Linked DNA regions of Struthio camelus. The protein of the gene in region 3 purifies or fractionates together with the protein of the main gene of each other region. This does not show direct contact. Links are inferred from orthologs where the notes say so. Each region holds a gene or a part of one and is shown on either strand. Other genes may lie near its edges. The genes, in order: YAP1, IGBP1, CCT2 and RFWD3.

The links.
Region 1: the proteins of CCT2 (region 3) and YAP1 purify together in Homo sapiens (affinity purification with mass spectrometry; 3 studies listed by BioGRID, with this or other methods). This does not show direct contact. The link is inferred for Struthio camelus from reciprocal best matches to the Homo sapiens genes CCT2 and YAP1.
Region 2: the proteins of CCT2 (region 3) and IGBP1 purify together in Homo sapiens (affinity purification with mass spectrometry; 4 studies listed by BioGRID and IntAct, with this or other methods). This does not show direct contact. The link is inferred for Struthio camelus from reciprocal best matches to the Homo sapiens genes CCT2 and IGBP1.
Region 4: the proteins of CCT2 (region 3) and RFWD3 purify together in Homo sapiens (co-immunoprecipitation; 3 studies listed by BioGRID and IntAct, with this or other methods). This does not show direct contact. The link is inferred for Struthio camelus from reciprocal best matches to the Homo sapiens genes CCT2 and RFWD3.

Annotation. Positions count from the first base shown.
Region 1 is NC_090942.1:208,824,719-208,831,971, forward strand, and holds the start of YAP1 (transcriptional coactivator YAP1), read right to left. Parts: upstream 3,016-7,253; 5' UTR 2,728-3,015; coding exon 2,410-2,727; intron 1-2,409. Other genes in the region: CFAP300 (cilia- and flagella-associated protein 300), read right to left, coding at 4,085-4,216. UniProt on the Homo sapiens protein: Transcriptional regulator with dual roles as a coactivator and corepressor. Critical downstream regulatory target in the Hippo signaling pathway, crucial for organ size control and tumor suppression by restricting proliferation and promoting apoptosis.
Region 2 is NC_090952.1:27,588,244-27,595,974, forward strand, and holds the start of IGBP1 (immunoglobulin-binding protein 1), read right to left. Parts: upstream 3,007-7,731; 5' UTR 2,995-3,006; coding exon 2,804-2,994; intron 2,728-2,803; coding exon 2,434-2,727; intron 304-2,433; coding exon 108-303; intron 1-107. UniProt on the Homo sapiens protein: Associated to surface IgM-receptor; may be involved in signal transduction.
Region 3 is NC_090942.1:40,739,202-40,746,840, reverse strand, and holds the start of CCT2 (T-complex protein 1 subunit beta), read right to left. Parts: upstream 3,007-7,639; 5' UTR 1-3,006. Other genes in the region: FRS2 (fibroblast growth factor receptor substrate 2), read right to left, coding at 4,305-5,255, 6,084-6,247, 7,157-7,315. UniProt on the Homo sapiens protein: Component of the chaperonin-containing T-complex (TRiC), a molecular chaperone complex that assists the folding of actin, tubulin and other proteins upon ATP hydrolysis.
Region 4 is NC_090951.1:22,426,910-22,433,976, reverse strand, and holds the start of RFWD3 (E3 ubiquitin-protein ligase RFWD3), read right to left. Parts: upstream 3,012-7,067; 5' UTR 2,922-3,011; intron 2,510-2,921; 5' UTR 2,381-2,509; intron 595-2,380; 5' UTR 593-594; coding exon 219-592; intron 1-218. Other genes in the region: MLKL (mixed lineage kinase domain-like protein), read right to left, coding at 3,826-3,878, 6,312-6,452, 6,962-7,011. UniProt on the Homo sapiens protein: E3 ubiquitin-protein ligase required for the repair of DNA interstrand cross-links (ICL) in response to DNA damage. Plays a key role in RPA-mediated DNA damage signaling and repair.

The DNA.
Region 1 (7,253 bases), about 170 Mb from region 3:
TCCTCACCAGAAAGCTGCCAGTCATAACTACGTAGAACTACTTCGTCAGCAGATAGGCGTCCACCACAGAACAGAAAAGCAGCTTTGAAAATTGAGTTCAAATAAGGCTGACTTTTACATATATTCATAAATTAATTCTTTTTTGCAGATACACCAGAACAACATGGACACCTATAATAAGTTGCATATATCAGCCATTGCCACACCTCTCTACACAAGGTATTGCACCATACACGAGGCCCCATTTATGTATTCTCATGGAGACTGACATTTCTGTTTCATTAAGCCTGTATGTGAGTACAAAGTTTCATATATGAAATTGGAAACGTATTTCAAAGAATTAGCTTAGATTTTAATAAAATGCACAAGTTGCAATTCACTTGAACGTGAGGTGCTTTTATTCTTGAGAAACAGAGAGAAAGAATTACAGAAACCTAAAGACCCTTTCTGTTAGGCAGAATATCGCTATGGCACTAACGAACAAAAAAGGAAAATTAAGACAGCCTGACTTTTTAAAAGAGAGTCAACAATGAAATAAATGATTTTCTACTTTCAGCTGGATTTTTAAGTTTATATTTTAACAACCACCAACTGGTACAAGAAACAGTGATCCAACTAAGCCGTATGCATTACGGATGTAGAGCAATATATACAGGCGAGATAACCCTAAGCTTAAAAGTACATGGTGTATGAACGTCGTACAAGTTAAATGCATTTCAAATACAAGAGCCATTTAGCTGCACTCACTGTATTTAACAGGACACAGCAATAAGCAGTAGATGAACTTACACCAGCGCCGTGCATAATCAAACTGTGATAAAACTTGCATAACTTGAGTAAAAGCTATGTAATAACTGCACTATTCCTCAGTGTATTTCAGCATGTTATTAATGCTGATGAAACGATATGATTTTTATTCAACAATTCAAAGATTGGCAACTCAGAAGCAAACAAAAATACAGAAGCAACTCAGTCCCACCTCTTTCTATTTTGTTTTCGGTCTTACAATATAAAGGCCAGATTGGTTTTCGAGTATTTGGAAAATGAATTAACTCCTAGCCTAAGAGAGTATGTGCCAAGGTTCAGCCTGGAGTAAACTTGTGAAGCCAAGTTATAAATCCTTCAAAACAGAAGTTTAATAATGGAAATGTTGACAGACCCTTAACAACAAGAGTACCAGGCACCAGTACACAGAGCAAGTTTCACTCCTACTGGCTACATAGATAAAGTGACAATAGCCAATAATAAAACCTATTTTATAGCTTAGCAACAAAGTTCATTACTTAATAAAAACACTCCAGTAGGAACAACCTCCTTCCAAAAAGTTGGCAGTAGCAGCCTAAACATTAACTTTCAGTCATACTTGCACCAACACTTCGGTCTTGGCACAAAAGTCACTCTGCTAGAAGATCAAACGCTAGCAGTGCCTCGGCGCTGGCCCTATCCTGCATCTCCTACTCAGCCTGCACTGCAAACCGGCAGACCAGTTTCTCGTGTCCGTTCAGGTCCCCGAGATTTAAGCTTTCACATCATGTCTGCCCAACGCACCGACGGTTAATTTAATGGACCCTCGACACAGCCAGACTTAAAGGTACCCACACGCACAGAAAGCGCCGGGCTCCGGAACTCACTCTGACGGGGGAAGGGGGGGGGGGGCACGACTCCTGCCCAGCCCGGCGCAGTGATGAAATGGTGGAAAATCTACATCCATGTTGGGGAGGGGAGGGGAGGGGAGGGGAGGGGGGGCACGGCCTCCGCAGCCCCCTCCCCCACGGGGACGGATGAGCGCCGCCGGATTAGGCCAGAAAGTGCAATCCGCGCGGCCGGTCCTCCCAGCAAAGCGCTTCCACCAGCGGTGCCGGGGGCCCCGCTCCCCCCACCCGCTCCCCCCACCCGCTCCGGTCAGACCCGGAGAGCAGCCACGGGGCTCGACGCCCAGCGGATGTGGAGCCGGAGGCCTCGCCGCCGACCGGGACGGACCAGGCCGGGCCGGGCTGGTGCCAACGGTCACCAACGGCCGCCCCGCCGCGGGGCCGGCTCCCCCTCAGCGCCCTGAGGAGCCGCGCGACGCCTCCCTTCCCTTTCCCCCCCCCCCCCCGCAACACTCTGTGAAGAACAAATAAGGCGGGGGAGGAGGAAGAGGAGGGAGCAGGACTCCCCCACAAGGCAGCCGGAGGAAGAAAGGGAGCGACACCCACCCCCCCTCCCCCACGGGAGTCCCGGCCTCGGCGCCCCCCTCCCCTCGGCCCGGCCGCGCGGCAGGGGCGGATTCCCGCCCGGCCCCGGCCCCCCTCCCCCGCACGCCTCCCCCGGGAGGAGCTCCGCGGCGGGGGGGAGGCGGCCGCCGCCACCGCCGCCCGCCCGCCCGCCCTTCCGCGGCCCGGCCCGGGCGGCCCCCCTCCCCCTCACCTGGCGGGAGTGGGCCTTGGGCTCGGGCGGCTTGAAGAAGGAGTCGGGCAGCTTGCGGAGCCGCATGGGCAGCGTGTGCGGCACGTTGGCGCCCTTGGGGTTCATCACGGCGTTGAACAGCGCCTCCAAGTCGGTCTCCGAGTCGCCCCGCACATGGACGATCTGGTGCCCGGCCGGAGGGGGCCCCGCACCCGGGGGCTGCGCCGCGCCGGCCGGGGCCCCCGACACCGCGCCGGGGGGCTGCGGCGGCGCCTGCTGCGGCGCCGCGGGCTGCGCTGCCTGCGGCGGCTGCTGTGACTGAGGCTGCCCGGGATCCATGGCTCCGGCGGGACCCCCCGGCGCTTCCCTGGCGGGGCTCGGCGACTCAGAGCCCCGATTCCCAGCCCCGCATGCCCCGCTCCCCGGGCTGCGGCTCGTCCTGCTCTCGCTGGTGTTCCTTACCCCTCAGCGGGGAAATCAACCCGGCAGCAGCAACTGGCAAAACAACTTTGGCCGTGCGGCACTTCCCCGAGCCCGGCCCAGCCCGGCCGGCGCCTCTGTCCCGGCGGCGGAAACTAACTCACACAACACGCCAAACAAAAGTTCTGAGTTACGCCCGCCCGAACCACTCTCCACAGCCAGCTCCGCCCCTCCTGAGCCCGCCCGCACCGCACCGTCTCGGACGGAGGCAGCCTGTGCCGAGCGGCTCTCCTGCGCGCGCCCGCCCGCACCGCCGCCGGCGCCCCGCGCCGTGGGTGCTGCCCGCCCCCCCCGCGCGCGCAGCCGGCCGCCGGTGCGCGCCGAGACGCGCGTGGGCTCACCCCCACTCCCCTAAGACGCTCCCCGCGCCCTCCGGGGCCCCCGGGGGGCGCTTCTCCCACTGGCGCCCGCCCGCACTGCGTTGCCGCGAAGAAGTTCAGTCAACCAGAACTTTTCCCCCTCCCGCAAGTTTCATCCCAACTTCCAGGGGCGCCCGCTCCGCCAGGGGCGGGGGGAGAGCGGCCGGCGCGGCGCGGCGCGGCGCGGCGCGGCTCCCCTCCCCTCCCCCGCCCGGCCCCGGCCCGGGGAGCGGCAGCGGGAGCGACCCCGGCGCCTCCGCGGGGGACGGGAGCCGCCGCCCCGGGGGTGGGGGCCGCGCCCCCGGCGCTCGGGGCGGGCACGGGCGGCCCCGCGCGGGGCGAGGGGGCGGCCGGGGGCTGCGGCTGCCGCCGCCGCCCGCTCACCTGGCGGCGCCGCCGGGCGGGCGCGGGGGCCGAGCGGGCGCGGGGAGCCGGGGGCAGCGCGGCGGCGGCGGCGGCTGACGCACTTTCTCCCACTGCCGCCGAGATTTCGCTGACTCCGGAGCCTCCCCTTCCTTGACTTTATGCGTCGCGGATCTTGAAAGGGTTTATAAACAGGGACGAGACATGTTGAGAAATGCCGTTTATTAGATAACGCGGGTGAGGGAAGAGGGGGCACAACTATCGGGCAAACAGCTTCAGAAAGTATTCCTCTAAAAATAAACTAGTCAAAAATTATACAAAACTTTTTTTCGCTAACCGCACAGTAACAGCGATATAAAACATGTAACCACTCAGAGGTTGTGTAATGAAGGAGTACATGCTTCCTCCTAAGAAAACCGTGCGACTTCTACTTGAATTCATGCAGAAAGAGCAACACCTCTATTATAAAATTTGGGAACAACCAGGTTAATAAACTAGGTTCCAAAGAAGCTTCCACCAAAACAATGATACAACGTATGGACGTGTCGTTTGAAAGGGTCCACAATCAAATAGGCAAATGTCTGTTCATGGCTTTTGTTTGAAGGATAACATAGGCCATTCTCATCCTGAGAGGAAGAGGAAAAAGAAACTGTTAATGACAACATGGATACCAATGAGCATATTCATACAATTTGAATAAAATGTATCATTCTGTTTCAGTTGTAACAATTTATTTGATGGCATAACACAACAAACACACCGGAGTTTATTTAAGTAGTTTTATCACATCTCCCCTGAAGGTCCTGACATTACAACACGGACGTAAGTAGCTCTAGCCGTCTGAACAGTGCCAATACCCTGAATGGAAATGTAAAATCCATTGCAAATGTAAAATTAAGCATGTAAGCACATGAATATATAATTAGAGCCTAAAATATAGACGATTAAATATACATAGACCCAATCATGTGTCCTTTGAAATAGAAAAATATTTAGGAACTATATATTAATAACAAAAGTTGTTCTATCAATAATTCTTTTTCACTTAACATTTGTTAATGCATCTGTTCAGTCTCCAATATTTGTGTCTAAGAAAAACTCTCTTTCTAGCTCTTATTAACATCTTCAAAATGTTATTTAAAAGTCTGCTAATTCTCACAAAGTGCTTTAACAGAATTTAGATGCTGAACTCCAAATTTCTCATTCCAAAAACTACACTCAGCTGACAACCAACACTATGAAAACTAGGTTCTTCAAATTAACATCCTACTTCTGCACATATCAATAAAAGCTTTAGTCTTGACAGAGCAGTAAAGCTGGTCACCCGCCTCAAATCCTACTTGGATTCAGAAATTAGATGTCTTCTTTTTTGATGCATTCAGTCTTGTAATTGAACATCTAACAGATGAACAAGCATGTAGCAGACACCTCCTTTCTTTTAAAACAGGTAACTGCTTCCTTCTGCTCCCTACAACTTTACACAGTATTAGAAGATATGTAAATTCTGTTCCCTTTTTTACTAGAGTAAATTCCCATATTGCATATAGTGTCCTTTTTTCCTCTAGGAAAACTTTAAATTCCCAGACTACACAGTATTCCAGCTTAGAAGCACATCTCTCTCATTCTTCTGTTGAAGCTCTTCTACTCTGCAGAATCCGTCTTTCTCTGGACCAAGGAATCATGAAAACTCTTAACACCCTATCTTAGTGGCTAAGGCAGTCAACTTGGAGGGAAAAGACCTCGTTTCCATTTTCTGGTCCAGGGACAATTTGTGAATTTTATCCAGTGGCTGTTATCAGCACCCAAATTTCTCTCCTGTTATTTAGAAGATAATGAATTCCATACTACATGTTCTTCCTTTGAGGAATTATTCAAGACCATAAATCTTAAATTAAGATAAGCAACTCCCTAAAAGCATTGTTTAAGAGAGGCAGAGATTTGATACATTTATTCTCATTATTTTCTGATAACAGTGAAATAGAGAAAGTTAAAAATAGTATTCTGTTTTAAGCAACACAGCATACAAGCTTTGTGGCTCCATTTTTAAGACATCTAGCTACATTCAGGCATTGTATAGGGATTCAGGTGCATGAAACACTGGATTCTCAGTTTCACTAAAGAGAGCAAGCTTTAAGTTGCGTTTTACAGTACTCAGCATCACAATGTCTTTGGAGTTTCATACAAAAATAACCTAAGCCCACCAAAAAGGAAGAGAAGACCAACATCAAAATGTGAGTGTTAATTAAACTGATTTCCCATTGCTATTAGAAATCCCATGTCTGCAGTCCTTACTGAATCAACCAACGTAAGTTGAGTTTTTGACCGTTTAAAAGCAGTGACAGCACACCGAAAGTTTGCCGAACAAAACACGAAAAAAAGCAAGCTAAGTTGTGGTGGCATGGCATTTCAAAAAACTCAACAATATACCAAGCTTGACAGCAGGAAAATAAATATTATATCATTTAAGGTAAGGGGGAAGGTTCTTTAATTTTAGTCAGTAAAAAGGTCGTTTAAAAAGAAAAACTAAAACACTTCAGCATAAAACCATCGGAACTTACATAGGGTTACTCTTGTCTTTAGAGTAATAGGTAATAGAGTAATAAAACATGAATCTAACCAGCTTGAACTTTGGTTCAAACATGTGGAGTTGGTGTAACACTTCCTTGATTTACTGATGCCAGAGTGGGATCAATTTAATTTGTTTCTACAAGAACATAGATATTCAGCCGAAGATTTCAAGAGTACAAATGCATAGCGTAATGAAGAAAGATACATTGAACATCTTTAAAAACGCATTATTTTATCAATAAGTTTTTAAAAAGACTTTGTGCATAAACTATTTATTACAGAGATTTCTAACACTGTTACAGTTAAGGTTCAGGTAAAGAAAGTTCTAAAATACCAATTAATATCCAAATACCTCAGATTTAATGAAGATTCATTATATGTAAGCTATGAAGCTTGGAGTTCAACAGTTTGTGGTCACATAACTTAAAATTTCTCTTGAGATGCCCTGGTCTACAGAGTTTTGATACTAACAGATCTGCAGAAACAGATAAATGAACCCTTATACCTTGAAATATTTAGATTAAGAGATCTTACTACTGAAACAATAAAACTGCCCTGAAGCTGTTTTTTAAACATACAATAGCACTTTCAAAGATGAGATCAGTTTCCACCACTGATTTTGACACGCCCACACTATTGAGATAGGTATCTGTGGAAACAGATTTGTTAGAAAAGAGGCATGAGACACAATTTTCGGTATACTGATGATGACAGCCAGCTTCATCTTTCTATATTATCTGATTTTAATAGGCTTTTTTTTTTTTTAATATTGTTTCCTAAACAAGGTCTTCTTAGCCACAGCCTAAACCAAATAAAAAGGGAGTGGTGGTGTCAAGAAGAAGTTACATAAAATTCTTAATTCCTGATATCATTCCTACTTTTACAGGTATCCAAATACATTTATTTGTCCATTTATTTTGTCCATTACATAGTTTGCAAAAATGTGGATTCCTCTTATTTCTCTGCTGATTCTCAAGCAACTTTTACCAGCTTGTTCTTTTCTATGTCAGGCCAAAAGGTTATGTCCATTTCTTTCAGATACAAACTAAGAAAATCTGGCTCATTCATTGTCACCTCCACATTAAGATTGCCTTA
Region 2 (7,731 bases), on a different chromosome or scaffold from region 3:
AGAATAAAACTTACAAAACTCTGCCTCTGAGGTTCGTTTACCCGCAACAGTGTCTGTCATCAGGTCTAAGTGTCCACAGGATCTGCAGTTCAAGAGAGATCTCGTACCTGTTTTACTGTACCTCTGCTCCTCAAAATGAACATTTCTTGGTCAATACTCTCAATTTCCTCAAGGCTGACGTTGATCCATTTCTGGGTTTGCAGGAGGTAAAATTCCCGCATCTGATCTTCATCTGCTTGCCCACTCTCCACAAAGGTTCTCATAGAGGCCAATCTGTTCTCCAGTTCCTTCTTCTGCTTATACCTGGTTCACAGAGAATAAAATGAGATCGTCTGAGTAACCTTCTCTAGCATAACCCAGATACTGCGTTTTCTAAAATAAACAACTTGCTCTTTCTTGAAATTCAGTCAAATTCAGTGAAAGAGCTACCTCCTGCCTCAATCCCATTTTAATCGCTTTTTACATAGGTGCCGGTTGGAGATCATCGCTCATTAGCGTAAGCAAATCCCAGACGTTCATAAAGCTCCCCGTATCTTAGAAAAACCTCCCCGTGGAAGCAGTTTCCATTCATTTAACAACAGAATAACAACCCTGCAATGACTTAGAGGAAAATTTTCATTATGAAGAGAACCAATGGCAGCACCAGATCATACTGAGGGTTACTTGCTGGTGACCTCTAAAGTGTGAGCACAAGGCAAAACACCAAGCGCAAGGATATATCCACCCACCTCAATTAGAACCACCTGACTGACAATTTAAGTTTTTTGACACAGGGAAAAATACAGAAAAGATCCACTTCACTCGCAAAAGCTTTGAAAACACACAGTGTTTGCAGAAAGATGCATACAGTGCTAATATCATTTCCTCCCAAGATCTACCCCATCACTTTCATCTGTCCACTCAAGTTGAGACTTGACTTTGGATCTTTGCTACTCTTTGTAGGACATTTTAACACTATATTAGATATTTAGGAAGAGAATTTTGTACCAAAAGGGAGGTCCTGACGGTTTACTGTTCCAATTTAAAGTAGCTCCTCATTGTTAATGACAGCTACAATAAGACAGTTAAAATGCCTTTTCTCTACCAATTATTATTTTTTGTGCTAAGAGGTCAGCAAACCTAAAAAGTTAAGCCTCTCAAGCAAAATTAGGCACACTTGGCAGGGCTAATTGCTGGAGAAAAAGGAATTAAACTCTTCAGCTCCTTCACTGAGATAACCAATACAACAGCTATTTTGAATTGTCTCTACATTATACGAAGTTATCAAAAAGCTGCTTATAAGGCAGATTAATTCATGAAGAGTTCTGATCTGCAGAAAACCAAAACTGTGATTAAAAGAAACAAACAAAAACCTGATATAAGAACTGGAAGTGTGTGCGTGGTGGGGGCGGGGAAGACAACTTGATACATTTTAGGCTTGTGTCCAACTTCCTTTACTTACAGTGAGAAATGAACAGTAAGAACCAAGGATTAGAAAACTACAGGAGCTGAGAGGAGAAGCAGCCTAGAAGAATCGTGCAGCAGGGCAGGTTTGCTTCAGCTTGCCTCCTGCAGCGCCAGCCTGCTCCACGGGCTCCGGGACGCTGGAGCACCGTGCTTGCGTCCTGCTTGGAGAGCGAGGGTAAGGCAGCTCGGACGACACAGGCCTGGGCTAGACACAGGCCTCCTTAACAACATGCGTCTGTACAGCCTATGGATTATTCCTGAAAGCAAATACAATTGCAGCTCCTCACCTTGCACCCAGATCAAGTAACGACCTGCTTTCAACCAAACTCTCAACACAGGCACCTCTGGTTTTTCCGCAGGCAGCAGAAGGCAGGGCACAGCCAGACGAGCGCCGTGGGAGCGGTGCGTCTACAGGTGGACGATGCCGGGCGCAGCGGCACCCCCCCAGCGCAGCCACGCTCGCTCGGGGCGTCGCGCACGGCTCCGAGGTGGCTGACGACGCCCATCCCACGTCGTAAAGGTTTTGCTGCGCCGAACGTCTCCAACTTATTCTCCTAGCCTAGCCCAATCTCCGACTACCTTCTGGAAGAGGAACCAGGTTTTGCTTTGGTGCAAGGGAAGCGCTCGTGGAACCCAGCTGGGCCCTTTCTGCGCCGCTACACTCAACGATGACTTTATTATCAAAAGCCTTAAAGTAAAGCATGACGAAGAGGCTTCACATCTCTTCACTAAACATCAACCTACAAGCGCGCTGGTGAAAAGAAAAACAAAGCTAAAACACGGCGTGGCTTTACGCAGTCAGCGGTGACTAAAGGCCCAGAAACGAGGAAAGCTTGCACGACACTTGTTAGGCGGCTGGCAAGCGAGCCGCTTCTCCCCGCCGCGAAGGGCCACAACCCCTCGGTGGGCCCTCGCTTTAAGCGCCAGCGAACGCCCAGCGGCCAGCAGAGCGGCTCCATCACCCCCCGGACCCACCGCCTCGCCTACCTCTCGATCTTGGCCTGCCGCGCCGACGCCATGGCCACCAGGCCGGCCGGGCCCGGTGCCGGGCCGGGGCTCGGGGCGGCGGCGGCGGGCGGGCTGCCGGCGGGCAGGGTGAAGCTGCCCAGGCCGTAGCTCTTGCAGAGGCGCAGGAAACGCCAGAAATGGGCGCGGGCGTCTTCCAGGTGCTCCAGCCGTTTGCTCGGGTTGACCTGCCGCAACGTGAGGGCCCCCAGCAGGGCGGGCAGCAGCAGGTAGCGCAGATCGGCCGAGGCGATCTCCTCCACGTCCTCGTTCTCGCTGCGGGACGAGAGAGCCGAGTCCGTCCCCGCTGCCCGCACCCGCCGCCCCGCGCCCCGCCGCCGCCGCCCCTCACCTGAAGAGATCCAGCTGCGCCACCATGGCGGCCGCCTGCTGCAGGGCGTCCAGCCCCCGCCGCACCTTGTCCTGCACGGCCGGGGCCGCCGAGGACGGCTCGGTGCCGGCCTCCACCTCCTCCCACAGCCGCCAGCCCGCCGCCAGCAGCTCGGCCAGCCGCGGCCCCTCCGCGCCGGCCCCCTCCGCCATCTTGGGCACGGAGCGCAGCCACTGCCGCCGCGTCGCGTCGCGCCGCTTCCGGCCCCGCCCCCCGGCCGCCATCTTAGTGGCGGCGCCTCCGAGCGGCGCCATCTTGGTAGGGGCAGGGCGGCCGCCGCTGCCGGAGCGCGGTGCCATGTGAGGAGAGGAGGGGAAGGGGGCGGGGGGCGGCGCGGGGCAGCGGCCTGGGCCGCCCTGGTCGGCGGCCCCGTGGGGTGGGGTGGGGTGGGGGGGCCGGGGTGTCGGGCAGCCGCCGTCAGCCACAGCAGCGTGGCCCCCCGCGCGCAGGGCTGCGCTGCGCCCCTCGCCTCGCGCACCTCACCTCGCCCTCACGCGCCTCACCTCGCCCTCACGCGCCTCACCTCGCCCTCACGCGCCTCGTCTCACGTGCATCACCTCACGCGCCTTGCCCTCACGCCCATTGCCTCACACCCCTCGCCTCACGCGCCTCGCCTCAGCCTCATGCACCTCATCTCACGTGCCTCACCTCACGCCCCTCGCCTCACCTCACCTCGCCCTCACGCCCCGCACCTCGCCCTCGCCTTCGCGCGGGCCTCTGGCTTGCAGACTGTGCCGTGCCCGTCGCCGCCGGGCTCGCCTATCTCCTCCGCTACCGCACCTGCCAAGGAGGGGACCTCCGAGGAGACTTTGGGAGGAGGTGGCGTTAAACCTCTAAGCCAGCAGAAATAACAATAATTAGCGGGATTGTCAGAAAACGTGCCGTCTTCCCACTCGGGAGTTGAGTGGGAACAGCAAAGAGGCAGCTACCATGTTAAAATAGCGTATCATTTATGAAACAACATCGACACTAAACAAATTACTTTAAAATTGGGCTCTTAAGAGAATAGAGAGCCCAAAGTATACAAAGAAGACGGATTTTGCCAGAAATTAGATTGGAAAGGACAAACAAATTGAAAACGCAACTGGCTAACCACTTTTCCTTTGGCTCTGCCGATCCGGCTGTTACCATTACCAATCAGACTGATTTTAATATGACATACAGCATATACATCAGCTAAGGTTGACACCATAGTGACATCCTGTCTCACAACGGAAAATAAGGCCTGGTCCAGCTCTCCACAACTTCCGGGGTCTGTAGACAAGGAGACGCACCGCGGGACAAGGGTTATAAGGCACAAGCAGAGTAACCTGCGCCTGGCAGCGAGTGGCATGTTATTCACACAGCGTTCAGGGGCAGCGGCAGAGAGGGGGAAAGGGAGCTAGACAGTGACTGGAGGGCAGAAGAGAACAAACGATGAAGAATGCAGCCAAGGTGCCAAGGTGATGACTGTGAGGGAGAAGGGGATCACACAGCGGATGGACCCAGGGAAGGGCAATACCACTCCTAAGGCCGTCTTCAAATGTCAGCGCTCTCTGCTTGCATGGACTGAGCCTCCATGGAGGACATTACTTATTTCAAAGGCACTATATTTCTCTGCTCCTTTTAAAATAAAACAGTGTTGTACGTGTCTGGAGCAATGATTCATGTCTTTGGCCATAAGAGATTCTTTACCAATGGGGATACCCTCCCTTGGCCAAGCGTAGAGCAATGTCTCACATTCATTGTACTCAAGCAAATGAGCCACAAATATAAAGAGACTTTACAGAGAAAACTGGCAGAAGTTTGTTTCTGTTGGACTAATCTGGTTTTTCCTCCCACCTGATGCTTTTGCTCATGGCCTGTTTGTCTTACTTTACGTGCATCCCCATATATAACAGCAGTTACTCATCTTTTTAGGCCTTGGGTTTTTTTTGTAGATAGCATTAAATACAAGCTCACCAGAATTCTTCATCCTAAACCAAGAGGACCTGGATTTCCAAGAACTCATACGATTGCCTCCCATTTGACTTTTGCTTCAATACCCACACCTCTGGAGATTATTGGTTTGTTTTTTTGTTTTGTTTTGTTTTTTTTTCTTTTTAATATTGTGAGTCTCTTTCCATTCATCTTACCAGAAGAAAAATGCAGTGCAAGGCTGGAGTTTGTCTACATAACATAATATGGTGCTATGCAGCACCAGCCAAGCTGGAATCAAATGCTTAAGCTCTGGAACCATAAGCTTTATATAAGTATAACCAATGTTGTCCTGACGAGCCCGTTTGAAGAGCAGGCTAATTAGTCATTCTGCATCTGAACCCTATGCTAGTCTTTCTGCACAGTGCTCTGCTCTCATCTCCCAGCGCAGCGGTTTGCGTGGTGGCAGCCTGCACATTTCTGTGCGGTGAAGGTGCTGGTGTGCACCTAGGTGTGTTTTGTCTGTGTGGCTGCACCAGAGGGAGCTAAGTCATTGCTAGCAGTGAGACCCTGCAGGCCCTCCCTGAAGGCCACCCTAAGGCAGAGCAGCTGTGGCAAGGCTGTCCCAGGCAAACGTACAGGTCATGAAGGTACCACGTCTTGCCCTAGGTACTAGAACAGTGGTCCTCTATCCTCCTCTTGGAAGAGTCTGAATGACATTAAGCCTTAGGACACTGAGGCCAGTGCCCCTGCTGGGATTCACTAATGGCTTGTACTGGACTCTTACTGCCTAGCATGGGATCTAAATCTGACAGACAGTCCAGACAACACAATGCACAGCATTCAGTACACCCAGGCAGTGTAGTATTTTATAAGTGCAATGCCTCCCCTTTCTTCTCTGTGTGGTTTTTTTTTGGAAACAAAAGTAAGACAAAAAGCCATTCACCTTCCCTTGCTTTTAGCTCCCGAGTCGCTTCTTACAATATCTCTGAAATTAAAATAGGGATAAGGCAGATAAGAGTTAAAGCTGGACTTCTACAAACTGACATTGGTCTATAAGAAGCGCAATAAAAGTAATTGACCTAGATGTGAAAAATCTATGTGGTGCAACAGTAATTCAGGACAGGCCTGAAGCAATTAACCTACTAGAATGAGTCAGTTTATCATCTACTGTATTTGTCTTCTTCATACATACATGAGGAAGCTTGATAAAAAGTTAATCATAAAAAACAGAACAATTGTGGGTTTAGGTTCCTGTATGCTTTGTCCTGAATATACTCCCAATGGTTTTACTATTCTGTCATCCTCTCTCTGTGTGACCATTTTGATCATGCCTGAAAACACAGGCGCCAGGACTGTGAGATACGTCAACAGTTTTACACGTCATCACGTGGTATTCCTGCATACCAGCCAGGAAGTGAAGAACAACACTCTGTCCAGCAGTGGGAAAATTAATTAATATAGTTATTGGAAGCGGAACGGGGCCAGGAATCAACAGCCATTCGTTCTTCACTAGCACAAAATGCTATGGCATCCCTAACAATTAAAACTAGTTCCCTTTCAACAAAAAGGCAATGCCACTATCAGTACAGCATCTTCCCCCTTACACGTGGATTAATTAAAAGCTACAATAAACCTATCAAAGAGCCAAGATTTCAGCAGCACTTTTCTGTTAAGGATCAGAATGAAAGAGATTGCTAGAGTGAACTCCTTCACCCTTTTTGTTATCCACAGATTCTCTGAGCAGTTCAGAGATCACCTTTCCCGTAGGAAATCTCTGTTTAATCGTTAACAAGTATCTCCTATAGGCATGCCCTTTTGAGGCCTTCACCTCTTGGAGCAAACCAGAGCAGAGGTTTGCAGGGAGCTATAGGCTTGCTCTCCAAATAATTGCAAACAGGCTGAGGACAGGGCAAGGGACTCCAGCCCCGCTTCCCTTCCCTTAGCATTGCGTGGGGGCTATTTTGACCCAGATATTCAGGGGCAGCACAGGACTGGCTTTCAGACACACTATCACTGCTCATCAGACATGAGCTAGACTGAGAGAGTAAAAAATCTGTGTGAGGCCCTGTTTCCTCTGAGACTGAGAAGGCCTTGCCTCTAAGAGCCGAGTGGCTCAGCTCACCTCTGAGCTGGTTGGAAGTTCAAGAATTTCCCTGCTAGGAGTTAATCAGCCCTGTTTTCACCGGTTGCTCCAATTGGTCAAGAATAGGTTTTACTTACAGCACAGGAGCATGAAATAAGTAAGAGTTGGTGACCAAAATCACCCACAATCTGCTGGTCTTCAGCCCCAACATAACAAATTGCAAATATCTACACATGTTGTTCTCCTGCTGACTGAGGTCTGCTTGGCAGGACATGTTTTTCTGAGCTGCCCCTTCCAATTACAGAGCTAATGTTCTTAATACAAGGAAAAAATAAATGGTTCTTTGGCAGGCATAATTATCTAGCAAGCCCCTATTCACACTACAAAGAGCCCCAAGCTGGGGACTACAGGAATAGTAGCTGTGATTAGTTCCACTGTGTGTGAAAAGGAGGAGTTTTTTACAAGCAGGGGATCAATCTCTTCCACTCTCCAGCTCTACCAGGTGTCTTGGTGCCATAGGTTCTCAGCATGAAGTTAATGTCCCGGGATCAATCTCACCTCAGGTTCTGGAGTGTCCTTATATTTCCACCCATCATTTCCCAGACATGAAACATGCCCACGTGCTTTCCATTATATAGGTAGTAAAACCAAGACTGCCATGGTGTATTCCATTTCGTGCATGTGTACAGAACATCTGGCTTTGCACATCCAGAGGGCCTGTCCAGTGCTTCGCAGGAGCACTAGACACGTTACAAGTACATCCAGGCTTCCTGGAAGGTGTTAGAGCTTCTGCGTGTGGCCCTACAGCACGGTACACACAAATAATGCTCCAGCCAGACTGAAGCACACCTGGAAATTCCTTAGTCTACCATACAGCACATGCACAGCGGTCATGGCTGACACATAC
Region 3 (7,639 bases):
CAAGTTCTTCAATTCCAGAAATGCCTAATTCTATCTATCAAACTGGAGGACCAAGCTTCTTTTGGTTTCTTGCGGGGAAAATTGGGAAATTTCAAATTTAAGTCCACTATGGACTCCTAGTCAATCAGTTTCATCTATTTTGCAGCCGTAAACAAATTAGCACAGGGCAGAAATGGCATTTCATCACTGATTCCACCTTACATGAGGAAGAGAATACTGCTAAGAGAGGTCCAACTCAGACCCAACATTATATGCTCAAAGTAGTAACTGAAATTAATCAGAACTTGCATTTTTTACTTCGCCATCAGTGCATGTAGGCAACTTGCTCTTTCCTGATTCTGTCTCACTGTGAACATAGTTACATATAAAACTAAGACAAGTATAGCCATATTTCGAGCCAATGCACACGGGCATAAATCCAACAAAATCAGCTGCTAGTCTGTCCCCTGCAAAAGAGCAACCTTGTTCTGACATTGTTTCGGGCTTTGTACAGCTCAGACCTTTCTGTGGACCTTGTTACATCCAAATCCTTGTCAGAGGTTTAAACATGCAAAAATATCTAAACATCTCAGGAAAAAAAAAAAGGTATTTTATGATATGAAATGTTTATTTAAACACATACACTTCTAAGTCAAGTTTTGTAGACCTAAATAGGAACAGGGTTTGAGAATGCACACCATTACATTCAACACCTATCGTATGCAAACTGTACTCATCAGTACACCTGTATAGTTACTTTTTAAAAATATTCCTTGAACAAGAGCGTTCTAAGGATAGCTGAAGTTTTCAGAACCGTCTTTTTTCTTTTGTTTTATGGAGTCACTGAGAAACACTACAAAATTAAAATTGGACCTCTTCTTGGTACGAGTTTGAGAAGGAAAACAATATTTTCCTGATATAACTAATGGATTATATTCTCATCAATGGTATTTCCGATGCAATCTTTATTATGTATTTTTGGCCACTGCTCCAGCTTTACTATTTCTATAAATTGAAAAAGAACTTCCGTGTTTAAAAGGTACTCTAATTTATGTCTTTCTCAAATCACGGCACTGCAGGAATATCTACAGTTTAAGGCTTCCCCTAGTCTTATGTCTTACTTGAAGAGTAGCAGTCAATTGCCTGGTACGGATGAAAAGTGGAATGAAGTAGATCTTGCCATTTTCGCAGGACAAAAGTTCATGTAGAATTAACATGTCTCAATTATTAAAGAAAATTGTTACATATTTGTAACTTCTCGCTCTATACGCTTGTGAGCCCAAAATAAATATGATCTAAATACTGTGGAGACATTTAATTTGAAAACCGAACCCTAGATCTACAGACAGTAAGTCTAACATGACAACCTTTTAAAGAGACTGAACTGCAAAAATATTTACCAAGTCTCCAAGGGTAAAGTGCATTGCAACTACATCTACTGCAAAGGGCAGAAGAGGAGGAAAAGGAAAGAACGCTAAAGACGGGGAACAAGGACTACGCAGTATTTTTCCAGCTTACACAAAATGAGAAAGCATTATCCCACCTGCAGAATGAAAGAGGGTAAAAAGATGCCTGGAAAATATGGTGTCAGACCGGTTAACATAGTTAAGGCTATAGGCGGCTTTCCCTTAAATTCTGCCTGATGTATTTTCTACTGAAGATACTAACAAAACGCCAGGACTAAGCACTCAGAAAGCACAGAAGTTGAAATTTCACTATGTCCTCAATTCCAGGCACCAGAGTTCGGAAAACACCTCCTCACACACAAAGTACTGCGACTTGCAAACTTGCAGCAACATAAAAAAAATTACTCGGACCATCCTTTGCCTCTGAGACTAGTCAGTATAAATGCACAGGACAATGTACCGGAACTAAGGAGGAATACGTTTGCTTTCTGGAATTTCAGCAGGTCACTTACAAGGTACCTAAAGTCTCTTCCTCTATTTGTCAATTAAGAGTATTACTTCCCTGCCTCACAGGTATGTTTTAAGGAACAAATTAACCTGTACTTCTGAGACACTCATGCTATACAGATGAGGACCAAACATTTCTAGGCAGCTAGCTAGGTCAAACAGTTTTGCCTCAAAACACATGCTGCACGGTTAGTATGGCTCACAAATTTAAGTGAGCTATAAGCTAGGAACAAGCATCACACCAGTATCGTTAATCGTTAATATATTTCACAACACTTGGTAATCTCTCTTCAGCACAGACCAAGACCGGTCCACAGCTTAAGATGAGGCAATGGCAAAGATGCGAAGGAGCAGTAACACTGCAGACCTGCAAAATGCTCTAGCTAGTCTTTACCTTCTTGAGTACCAAGTTCTCCCCAGATGTCAATGAGCCCATCACAATACTATGCGTAGGCCGACAGTGGAATCACTAATGACAAGTTTTTTTGATCGCCTTCATTTTCTCATAATGGTCTCAATGACTCATCTTTCACTTCTGCAAATTGTTCTTTGTGCATCTGGTATTTCAGTACCATACAGTCTGTAAAGAATAATCAAAACCTTTCAGAGCAAAAAGGTTGCCTGATATTATCCCTTAAAGAAGTGACAAGGAACATGTATTTCAGGTGCTGTCACTGTTGCCACTACCAAACTGACAGAAGACCAAAGAAAAATTAACAAGGGAACAGGAACACACTCCAATTTACATGACTGGAAATAGTTTTTAGTAACACTTCCATTCAACTATTGCATGAAGACCCTTAATTCTTTTTCAGATCCTCCAATGGCTTTTCTTACACGTTTTCCTCACATACAGTTCAAGGGTTTTTTTTTGTTTGTTTGTTTGTTTTTTTCCAAACACACCAGTACACACAAGTGTCAGTTCCTTTGCAATCACTGGCTCAAGAGTAATCACTTCTGCTGCTAATACCCAGGTGTACTGGAAATACTGCCAGAATTCTAAAATTATTCAGAATTACAACAAACAAAACAACCAACAGCTAAGGGTGCATCTGGCATATTCAACAAAAGCATGCTACCTGGATGTACCTGTAACACTGAGCAGCTACTATTGTAACCAACTTCACCAACTGCAAAAGGAAAAGAAGTATGCTCATAGATAATACTACCTTCAGATAACTTACTACATATTCTTTCTAAATTAAAGTGTACTATCAACTATGGGTGCACATTGCTAGAACGTACAATTTGCTATAAAGAACTATCAAGTCCAGTACCCTGCCTCCCGTGTAACCTGTGTCTGATGCTTCAGAGGAAGACAATAAATGCATAATAAACCTTTCCAGTTGTGCAATAATGCATCCTGCTGGAGAGCTGGGATATTCCTGTCAGGCGTAAAAAAGTACAACACTGGACAAAGACAACCATTTGACCTCCCAAGAGTCTTTCTTTGTCAAATGCAGAGAATAAGACAAACACACAAACAACCCTGAACAGTAATAAAAGCTATGTACAAAATTTTGACTCTTAAAACAAGACATTATAGGACAGGTAAAAAGAAACACAACTGCAAAGGCAGGCAGGCACATCAAACTAAGAAATGACAAAAGAGCCTTAATACATACAGCCAACCTGTGAATTCCTTCACAAAAGACTAATGAGAGCAACGTTTTGTCAGATTTCAAAGGGAACTTGATACACCACTTGAAATTCTCTTCTGGCAGAAGTGACTTAAGGCTGGTTTCAGATGCATTTGCAGCTCTGATCAAGCAGGCTTTGATATGACCTCTCAGACATCACATAAGCTAAGGAATTTGAGGCCTTCTTGCCCATGTGGTCTTAAAAATAAAAATAAAAAAAAAATATATATATATATATAAAAACCGAACATAAAAGGTGTGGTGTTTCTATCCCTTGAGATGAACCAAGATATCTTGTGTAAGTCAAACTGAGTGAATTAATGAATTACATACATTTCACTCTGGAGGAGCCGTGTGAACGAAGACCGAGTATGAAGATATGGACCTTGAAAGATTAGGTTTACCTGCTAATAATGCACATATCAAGAGGCTTTGAAAAGTGTTATAAATGCCATTAATGACTACAGGCACCAGACCAGAATATTTATAGATTCAAAACTGGCACGTCACTCAGACTCTAATAAATTTAAAGAGGCACTGTGAAAGGTGGCGATGCTGCTATGCAGTAATTACTACTACTGTAGAACGAAATAGTGTTACTTAAATGAATATTTGCTCTACATTAATTCCCTTTAGTTAGACAAGTACATGAAGTATGCAGAAAAACTTCTATTAGTCTATAAAAGGCGTTCGTGTTAACAAATGCAAAGTACTTGTATCTTCAATTTTATAAACTTCACAAAAGGTGCAAATGATTTAATGCTTTCCAGGCTCACATAGGCAGGTCAGTACTGTTATGTCTAGTTTTCCTAGAAGTACCATCATCTCGGGGCAGTGCTTTTTGCAAGCTTGACATAGCAGCAGTTCTTTCAATGTCTATCACAGCATACAGCTCTGTGCGCCTGGTTGGAGTTTGCGGAAGTGGAGTGGTGGGGGTTTTTGGAGTCTGAGGGTTGTCGGAGTCACTACCACCTTCCAAGTCAACCTGTATATAGTTGAGCTGCCTGTGTTCTAAACTTGGACGCCTAATGTCAAAGTTGAAGACTGTTGGGGTACAGTCCCGACGTCGTGTAAATTCTACTTTATGAGCACTTGCTGGTACTGTTACATTCTCCGTATTGACATAATTATGCATTGGATCTAGGTTATTGTGGTAGCCATTCAGAGATGGGGTCTTTGGTCCTAAACCGTCATCTTCATCTCTACTCAGCTTGCGGGCTTCCCAAACAGGAGGCAAGGATGGCAAGTTCTCATAGTTCAATAACGCAGTTCTCCTTTGAGCAGAGTTGTTAATGTTCTGGGTATCCGAGGTACTGGTTGATGTCAGACGACCTCTCCTGACCCCTGAGGCACTAGGGATTGATAACCTATTTATGTTTTCATAAACCAGTTTATTGCCAGACGGTGTTTCTCTGCGTTCGTCGCTGTCGTACCCCGTGTCCCATTCAGTGTTGTTTGTGCTGCTGCCACTAACTTGGTCTCTCCCAAGTTGCTCCAGTTTCTCTCTTTCCATTAACTGCCTTTGAACAGGTGTTGGTCCTAAAACAAACTTGACTCCTTCAGGCTCTAGGAGAACCTGAGCGTCTCTGTCATCAGTACACATCTGATCTTCCTTCACTTTATTTGTTTCCGTGTTTGAAAGCTTTGATTCCAGTGGCGCATGCACACTTGATCGATTTTTTCTTTCCTCTTGTACCCCAGTAGTGTTGACGTAAGTGTGCACCTAAAAGGGGGGGGGGGGAAGGAAAAAAAAATTCAAACACTTCTTTTTTTTTTTTTAAATTTCATTCCTTCTTACTCTCCACTTTTTTTTTTTTTTTTTAAAAAGGTGGCTAGGGAGCAATTTAATTGCTGTTTTCGACCACTTAAGAGATGGTTAAAGAGAAGACAGAGCCAGCCCTTTTTGGAGTTGTCCAGCAAAAGGATAAGGGGTCACGGACACAAGCTGGAACAGGAAAAAATCTGACTACGTATTAGGGAAAAAAGTTTCACAGAGGAGAGCAGTCAAACATTGGAACACACACCCCAGAGACACTGAAATCTCCTTGCATGGAGTATTCAAAGCTTGATTGGACAAGGCTCCGAGCAGCCTGCTCTTAACTTCAGAACTGGACCTGAGTTTGGTTCTGCTTTGCCAAGGGGCTCTAGAGGTCCCTTCCAACCTAAATTATTCTATGAGTCTATGTACAGAAAGCTTATTTGCAAAGAAGCTTTTTGACTAGGATCTTTAATCATAAAATACAGTTTGTGTGTTTAAGACATAGCTACTGAAATAAAAAGCTTATATGTAAAATATATATTTACCTATTTGGGTATATTTTATCTTTATTATATGTATAAAGAACAACTTAAAATAGCTATTCTTCCCCAGCAAAGTATGATTTTCAAGTGGCAATATAAACACTCTTCTGAGGCAATTAACATATGGGAAAAATACATTACACCTGATACTGAAAAACACAAATGAAAACGCAAGCCTAACAGTACCAGCATAAAAATCTGAACGGATGCTGAACACCAATTATACGAAAGGAAAAAGAAAAAGACCCACTTGTTCCTCTGCTACCAGTAAAGGATGCGTTGATTCTTCACCAACAGAGGGGAGGCGTGCACTTCCAACAGAAGGATGCCTACTGGAAGGATGCGATGAAGCATCTCCAAAAGATGGATATCTGGGATAGCCATTAGGTAGGCTTTGCGCATTGAACCCAGGAGCTGATTAAATTAGAAAACAAGCAAAACCATATTAGAATAGAAACGTTTTACTGTATATGAACAAGATGCTTTAGATCATCCTCCTCAATTTTGAAAAGAGGAATCAAAACATGTAAAATAGTATTAAATAGTCACAATGCTCAACTTTGCTAGGGGGAAGGAAAGGGAAAAGCAAACTTCAGAGTAGACTATCCCAGTGTTTACCTGAAAACATGTCTGAAGCAGTCACTGAAATCTACCTGTGTTGTAAACCACAATTATCCCAATAAACTCCCCATCCGACTTCTTTTTTCCACTATTAACATGTTTCCCTAAAAACCAGGACCTAATTCATTGAAACTTCTATTTCTCTGAAGTAACCTGCAATAAAGTGGAATTCCTACTGTCAGATATTAAGCCATATGCCTAGGATTACCTTAGAGTCCCCAGAAGTTTTGAAAGGGCTTCTTTCTACCTAACCATCTATACATAGGAGGAGAAAAAAAAAAAAAAAAAGATTCCAAATTCACTGTAGACGTGGCATGACCATTACACTTTTTCCCTAACAAAAAGACTGGAGCACTGCCTAACCGTAACATATCTGAACAATGCTAGAAGAAAAGTATGGTGATATTTTATAAAGCAACTGAATAAGCATATACTTAAGCAGTGTTCTGGTGCAAAAACTAAGGTCGCAAAGCTTAGTTTTTCAAGCTGAAGAATTTGACTACAGCAGTTTTGCTCCCAAGACTTCAGATTCTGGAAAGAAAGTCCTCAGAAGTATCTCAAGGGACTGCATTACTGGCAGTTAATCTCTTAGCTGAAAATAGCATTTAATTTGCATTAGTTAAGTACATTTAAAAATCCAATTTAAAGCTAAGTATCACATTACGTTTCAGGTATGCCATTCAACAGTATAACCACGCTTACTGGTAGGTGTTCGAGGGGTTCTTGGAGCTTCCAATTCAGTTTGATGATTATTCCTTTCTACTACTGGTTCTTCTACCACATTTATGCTATTGTTCTGCATTATCTCTTGCAACATATTAAATAGCTCTTCTGCACGGGCACATTTAAAGGCAAAGATTCCTATAAATACAACAGGAAAAAAAAAAAAGCCAAAATCCTTTTAAGAAAAGTGCCTTACAATGTAACTTATTTTTAAACAACAGAACTGGAATCCACATAACAAATACCTGCTAAAGAAGGAAAAACATTAACAACTTCTTCTTGCACCAAAACACAAAAATACAGCAAGAACCTTTCAAGTGTTTAGCTCATAGAAGAATAAACTTTCCATGCACCAGAGGTTAAGTTGGAACAGAAAAACTGATTCAGTTACAAAGCAAGTCTTAAATTTGAGTACTAAATAAGGGGGTAAAAGAAAAAAAAAAAGGTAATTTTTTTTAAGAG
Region 4 (7,067 bases), on a different chromosome or scaffold from region 3:
AGCGAGGAACTAATTTAATGAGGAGCAAAAGATTGCAAGAAGAGATCAGACAACAGTGTGCCATTACACAGGTCAAAAGATGCGAGGTGCACAGAATTCGGCCATAATCACACACTGGACCGAGCTGGGCTCCGTAAGCCGGGAAGCACAACGCTTTTTAAACCGGTATCACAGGTGTGATAAGACAGGGTTCAGACCCAATTCCATTTCTGCTTTACCTGCTACTGACTGTCCTCTGGGAACCACCAATTCTTTGTTGCCTGCGAGCTCTTCTTACTTGCGGACGCTGCGTGATCTGCAGCCCAGGCAATACCTGATGCTGATCAAATGCTCCCCGTAGCCTTTGCAGTCCACGGAGAGCCGAGGCAGAACCCAACCGCTGGTCAGAGTCAGCAGCAGTCCTTGTAGTATCAGCGTTTGATATCACAACAGCTCCATCAGCAGGAAGAACTGTAACAACATCTCCTTCTTCACTGTGCGCTGCAGTATGTGGTACTCTGTGATGAGAGGGCTCTGAGAGAAGCGCCCGGTGGTTCTCTACGTGGTAACCAGCCACTGGTTGCAGATCAACTTCCATCTCTTCTTGAGCCATTTCTGTAAAGAGTTGATAAAAAACAACTAGTACCTGCAAGTCTGTGCCTGCTTGTAGCATTATGGTGGCATGAATTGGGTGCATCAGTCAGTCACTACAAAAACCTTTAGAATTCAGACTAGAGAAGCATAGGTCCTTTTGCTTTAGAGACGCTGCAAAGCTAAACTGGCTGTCTCAAGTCGAAAGCTGTATGTTAGCTGACACAGAAGGCAGCGCCCTCCCAGGGTCCTTGATTTTGAAGCCCTTGGCTCAACACTACCTAGTCGACTTAAGTTAGCTTTCAGATGAAAGTGGACAGTTAGGGATTTCTTGCTGGTATCATCTACTTGCTGGTAAACACATTTGGGTCTTGGAGTACAGAGTTTGGAAAATGCTTTCACGCTCTAAAGTCTCTACAGCGACAGGCGCTACACAGACACCTACAAACACAGCCAGAAACCAGCTGAACAGCACAGTCCTTTGTCCATTGCATTGCTCCTTCTGGAGGAGAGTTTTTTTTTTTTTTTAAAGTTTTTTCATAGATAAATAAAATTCCATTACAATAACAGCTCACTGGGAACCTTACCCACCTTTTAATTACTTCATCAACACCATACAAATCCAATAAGGGTATTTATTATACCAGAACCCAAAACAGAGACACCGTGGATAGTAAGGCACCTACAGTATCAGTATTTGTGGAGCCATATCCAGTCTGACACTAAAAAAACATAAAACTTTGCAATAAAACTCATGTGTTATTTAAGCATGGTTGCCTTCCAAACACCTTTGAGATGAAGACGGCAGGTAACCTCCTAAAAAGAGGTAGTATGTTAGGCTTTGAAGGAAAAAAGAAGAGGCAAAAGGCTGTGCATTGCTAATAATCAAGCTGCCACAGAATTAGAGCACATTAGCTGACCTGTGGTTCTGCAGTCTTACAACACAAGAAAGCAAGATTTTTTCAACTGAATAATTAAGTATACCAAACAATCCTCTTTTTTTGAGGGTGGGTCAAGTTCTGCAAAATGCTGAAGGTTATTTGTATCTTCAAAAGATACTTAGGCAACCATAAATCTGAAAGGCCTTGAAGATGGTAGACCTTTAGCCTTAAATTTAAGAGCCCAAAGCACACACCTAAACTTATTAGGCTAGGCCGTGTGCAAACAGAGCAAAGACTTCTTCTAGCACAAGGGATAGCTAGGAAAATATATACATGAATTACTAGAGGGAGATGTACTAATGGTAATGTATTTTTATAAACCTTTTTGTAAACTCTAAGTTATGAAGCATTTTATAAGTCTTAACCTAAATAACACTTCGACCCAAGCTAGGCAAAGAGGAGATGCCAAACCCTGTCCCCCCACGAGAATAAACAGTCATATAATCAAGATACAATAAAGTTCAACCACATGTTCCTGTGATAACATTCAGCTATACTGCTTCTCTAGCACTAAACTCATAAAACTGCCACCCAAAAGCACAAGAGACTCCTTATTTTCTCATAAATTAACACTGAGGCTTAAAAATATTACATAAATTAACCATCCTGGGCTAACTCGCCATTCATATTTCCTCATAAAAGACGAGGTAATACTGGCATCTGCACCATTAAACCTTGGAGCCTCGTGAAAGGCGTAAAGATCAGTGCTTCCCCGTGACAGCCAGTCACCTGGCACTAGCAGGGAGGGCCTACATGTCCCCACAGCCAAGCTTCTTGGGCCCAGGTCACAAAAGTCGGAGCGCTTTCGCGCAGAGAAGCCCGAGTACCAGCACAGCAGGCTGCTTCACACAGGCGGCTGTAATACTAACCCGAGAGCTTAACGCTGAAGCACAAGCTTCCCCTTGCGCAGGGGCTTCTGGCCGCCGCAGCGCGCCGTGCTGCTCTGACGGACCTTCAGGCTTGCCTCCACATCGCCAGCCTTTATTCCTCCACGGCTGCTTTAACACAAAGATAACCAAAACTCAGCACGCCGCGAAACTCGACCTCTATGACGGGGTTTCTTTGTGCCTTTTGAGGGGATACTGCAACTGCGATGGGCCCTGGCAAAAGGCGCGGGACAAACCCCGCGGCGGCAGGGGCCTTGCGCCCCGCTCGGCAGCGCCGCCAGGGCCGCGCCCCGCGCCAGGCCCGCAGCGCTCCGGGCCCCCTTGGCCCTGCGGCCGCCGTGAAGCCCCCCGCCCCGGGCACAGCCGGCGCCCAGGCCTCGCGGCGCGCCGGCCCGGGGTCACCGGCGGGGCCAGGCCCGGGAGGGCCCTGCCAGGGCGGCGGCGTGGGCGGCGTCGCCCCCGGGCCGCCCCCGCTGCAGGGGGGCCCAGCGGCCCAGGCCGGACCGGGCCGCCCCGCACTCACCTCCCGGGACCCCAACCGCCCCTCCCGCGCCGCTGGAGCGCCGCGCCGCTGGAGCACCACCCCCGCCGCCCTATTGGCCAGCTGCCTCTCCCGCACCTGCAGAGACGCTTTCTATTGGGCGAGCCGAAGCCAGACGAGCCTTTTTTATTGGCGAGCCGCTCTGTCCGTCTGCCCGAGAGACAGCGGGAGAAGGGGCGGGGCGGGGAGGAGAGGCGGTTGGTGCCCTGATTGGCCGGGTGTCTGGCCAGCCGATGGAGGGGGGCTGCGGAGCGGCGTGCTGATTGGGCAGCGCGTGGCGGGGGGCCGGCCAAGAGCCAGGAAGTGCGTTTTCACTGGAGGAGCCGCAGCTCAGACGAAATGAGCGGGAGCCCGAGCGGATTCAAACAGGGGCCGGGAGGGCGGGGGCGTTGCCATGGCGACGGCGGGGCCCGCTCTCCCCGTCGCGAGCCCCTGGCTCGGTGGCGGCGCTTCCCCCAGGACACGCGGCCCGCGCCTGCCGCGGTTTCCTCGGCGAAGGGAGCCCCGAGCTGGCCGCATCGTGGTCCCCTGATTCGCCCGGGCTGAAAGGATCCTCTCGGAGGCCCCTGGCCTTCCCTGGCGCAGCGTGGCGCAGGCCTGCCGCCGGCAAACCTGGAGGCACCGGGAAGCCAGTGGCCGAGCGCTCGCCAGCCACCTCCGTGGCGAAACCAAGGCGCAAACTAGCAGGCACGACTACTTGCAGACTTGCGAGTCTTGCCATATAAATACATAAAAGGTGTATTGAACAATCGATCGTTGCAACTAGGGGGCAGAGGGGCAAGCTTCACGCGTCAGGCCTACGGGAGGGAGGCACACCGTTGCTCTTCTCTTGCTTTTGAAGCTGCTTGGCTGGTTTCCTGGGGTCACTTGAGCCTGTCTTTTGCAGTTAGCTTCCTTGGTTTCTGCTTCTCTTGAGGTCAGCCAGCCAGTCCACGATTTCTGCAAAACACAAGGACCGTCTGAATGGAAACAGAGTATCCGCTGTCAGCAGGGGGGGGGTTTCTCTCATGAGATAGATAGTTCTTCCTGGCTGACAAAAACTAGCAGGTGAAATCGCTCTGTGCGCCAGCCTAACAGCCGCCTTGCGCCAGCGCGCCTGTGCTGTTCCTTGCAGGTGTGACTTCCCTGAACGGAGAGGCACGCGTGAGCACAGTTCAGAGAGAAGCAGGCGTAGACACAGACAGATGCCTGGAAAGAGCTGTGAGAAGACTTCCTTCAGCTCAGCACCATGCAGGCACAGCTGAGCAACGGGCTGGGGGCATGGGGTAGGACTAGAGTATTGAAGACACAGTGTGTCTTCGGTTTAACTTTGCTGGAGCCAATAAACCTGAGGATTTTCAGCATTTCCTAGCAGCAGCTCTCAGAGCGGGCCATTCCCTGAGGCAGGGTTTCCTAAGAAAACCACTCTTCAGAGGCTGAGATGCAGAGAGCACAGCAAGAGCTGGGGGGGGTTTCTTACCCAAACTCTCCAAATCTCTTGTGTAGATATCGAGCTGGTAGTGGTGGGAGTGATTAAAGGACGCTTTCTCCCCCTGGAAAGATGATGGACTGAGGAAAAGGTACTATCATCTCAGTCACTTGTGCCTTCAAGCACAGCAGAAAGGTTTCTTTATCTTTTTCTGCTGCATCTGTTAAGTCTTATGATTGAGATCAATTATTTATCTGATGCAAACATAGACCAGCTTCAGAGGCAGTGAAATCATCCCCAGAGCAGAACAATTCCTGAAATTGCAATTTATTGCTAAAAGCCCAAGGCAGGAAATGTTCCTGTCTTGTGTTGTGACTGCTCCTCCAGCTTACAGGAGCTGCAGGATTTGAGCGAGGATCAACCCATGGCTCCTGTTCCTAGCCCAGTGCTTGTCTGACAGACTGCTTACTCTTTCATGATGCCTAATGAATAGCCTAGTGATTATTTTCATGGCATGGACAAATGTTAACTGGGTGAACCATCATGCTATCTACAGGAGAAAGAGACTTTTATTGCTAGGGGACTCCTTAGCATAACAAGGTAGGACAAGGAGTGATGGCTGAAAGAGAAACCCAGTCCAATTCAAATAGAAAGCAGAAAGGGACAAATTAAGAGTCTCCTTCTCTGGAGATATTCAAAACCTGCCTGGACGTGATCCTGGGCAATGTGCTCTAGATGACCCTGCTTGAGCAGGGGGGTTGGACAAGATGCTCTCCAGAGGTCTCTTCCAACCGTGGCCATTCTGTGATTCTGTGAACCACTGAGCGACAGAATGGATTTGCCATCCTTTGAAAGCTCTCGGACATGACAGGACAACCCCTTTAAAAGGATCCTGTCAAGGGAATTCTTGGATCTGACCCTCTGTGTTATTGAGAGCACAGGATCAGGGATCACAGCGTTTTTTTCCTGGGTTTAAAATCTAGACTATGCTTAGTAAGAATTCTTCCTTTGGCCCAAGTTGGAAACTTCTGATGGCCAGGCCTCACTTGACAAATGTTCTGCCCCGGGAGATCAAGGACTGAGTTTATCACTAAATACCACTGCTAGTGTGAACAGCAAAAAAAAAAAATCTTTCAGCCTCAGGCACCTGCCTGCAATTGGTCTCCTATGCTGCAGGGCTGCCGTCGGCTTGGGAAATCTGTTGGACAGGGAGGAGTTGGAGTGCTGCTGGCACTGAGCAAGCACGGGAAGCGCATCCTTGGAGACACCTACACGACACGTCTGCATGCAAACAGAGGCTGGAAAGCGCAGGATTTAGGCTAGCCCTAAAACTGTATGTGCTTTCACTCAACCGGTCAATGAAGGCTGCAGCACCCTGGGTAACAGGACAACTTGAAAAAAACCCTTTCACATTGGGTGCCCTGGTGCTCTCAGGGGCCACAGCACTGAGTTAGCTGCTGCCACTGATCCTCCATTCCTTCCCAACCGGGTCCTGTCCAGGAAACAGGCTATGGATGGGGTTGCGAAGAGAAGCGTGCTCTTTGAGAAGACAGAGAGTCAGGCAAGCAGCATGGCCAGGCAGGAGGGTTATCTGCATAGGACCATCAGCCCTGTGTCACACACCAGTGGGACAGGAGAGCAGGACAGCCCTTTTAAATGCATTGCTGACCTTGGCAGCCTGAGGCCCTGAGAAAGCTGGGCTCAGCTATTTGCTGAAAAGAAGACAAATCTGGGCATTTGTCTTCGCCCCCTCCCCCCCCCCACACACCCATCAAGGGGGCAAAGCTCACGTTACTGCTGCTCTTGAGCAGACATCCATCATCTGCTGCAGCAGCAGAAGACATGGGTCCCTTCGGCTTGGGTAGCGGAAGTGCAGGACAGCCCAGCAATGTGGAAATGTGGTAGCATGGGACTGGAAGAAGGAGCAGACAGCTAGGGAGATGAGCCCGCGCAGAAACACTTACGCTCAGCAGAAGGGCGCTGGGAAGGGTCAAAGGCCCGGCACTGGTCAATGATTTTCTCCAGGTCTTTGGGACAGTCTTCCCCAACAGGCTCCCGATAATGGTGTTCACAGATTTTCTCCCTGATCTCTTGGGGAGTGCAGCCTAAACCAACACACACACACCAACCACGTCAGGCCGGCATGGCAGAGCTCTGCTGCCACAGGAGGCTGCTGGGCAGGGAAGCCAGTGCAAGGCCACTTTGAGAGCCTTCCTGCAGCCTACAGCGCAGAGGAGCCAGCACAGAAACCGCCCGAACTGTGTCTGCAGTGAACCCCTCTTCTCTGCCATAACGCCACTGGGCTCCAGTGAAGCAAGGCGATGTGTTTATGCTTCAGCGCATAGGAGCATCAAACAGAGACAGAATCATTTGCACGCTTGTGGTTTAAGCATGTGCTGAAAAGCTTTACTGTGCTGGAGTTGGAGTCCTGGGAAAAGCCACGTTTAGAGGCTGTTGTGCTGCAGGTTGGGCAGACCCAGGCATCCTGGGCACTGCCATGGGGACCCACATGCCTCTGGGTGCTCTGCAATGGAGCACAAGTATCTGACCCTGGCCAGCGATCTAGCTGGGCCCCGCTGCTTTCACACAGGGGGACCAGATGCTTTTATCTCACCTTCAAATGGGATTTTGGAGGTGGCGATCTCCCACAGCACGATCCCAAAGCTGAAACGAGACAAGCAAGAGTTCGTCAGCAATGACCCCCACTACCTTGTCCTGCC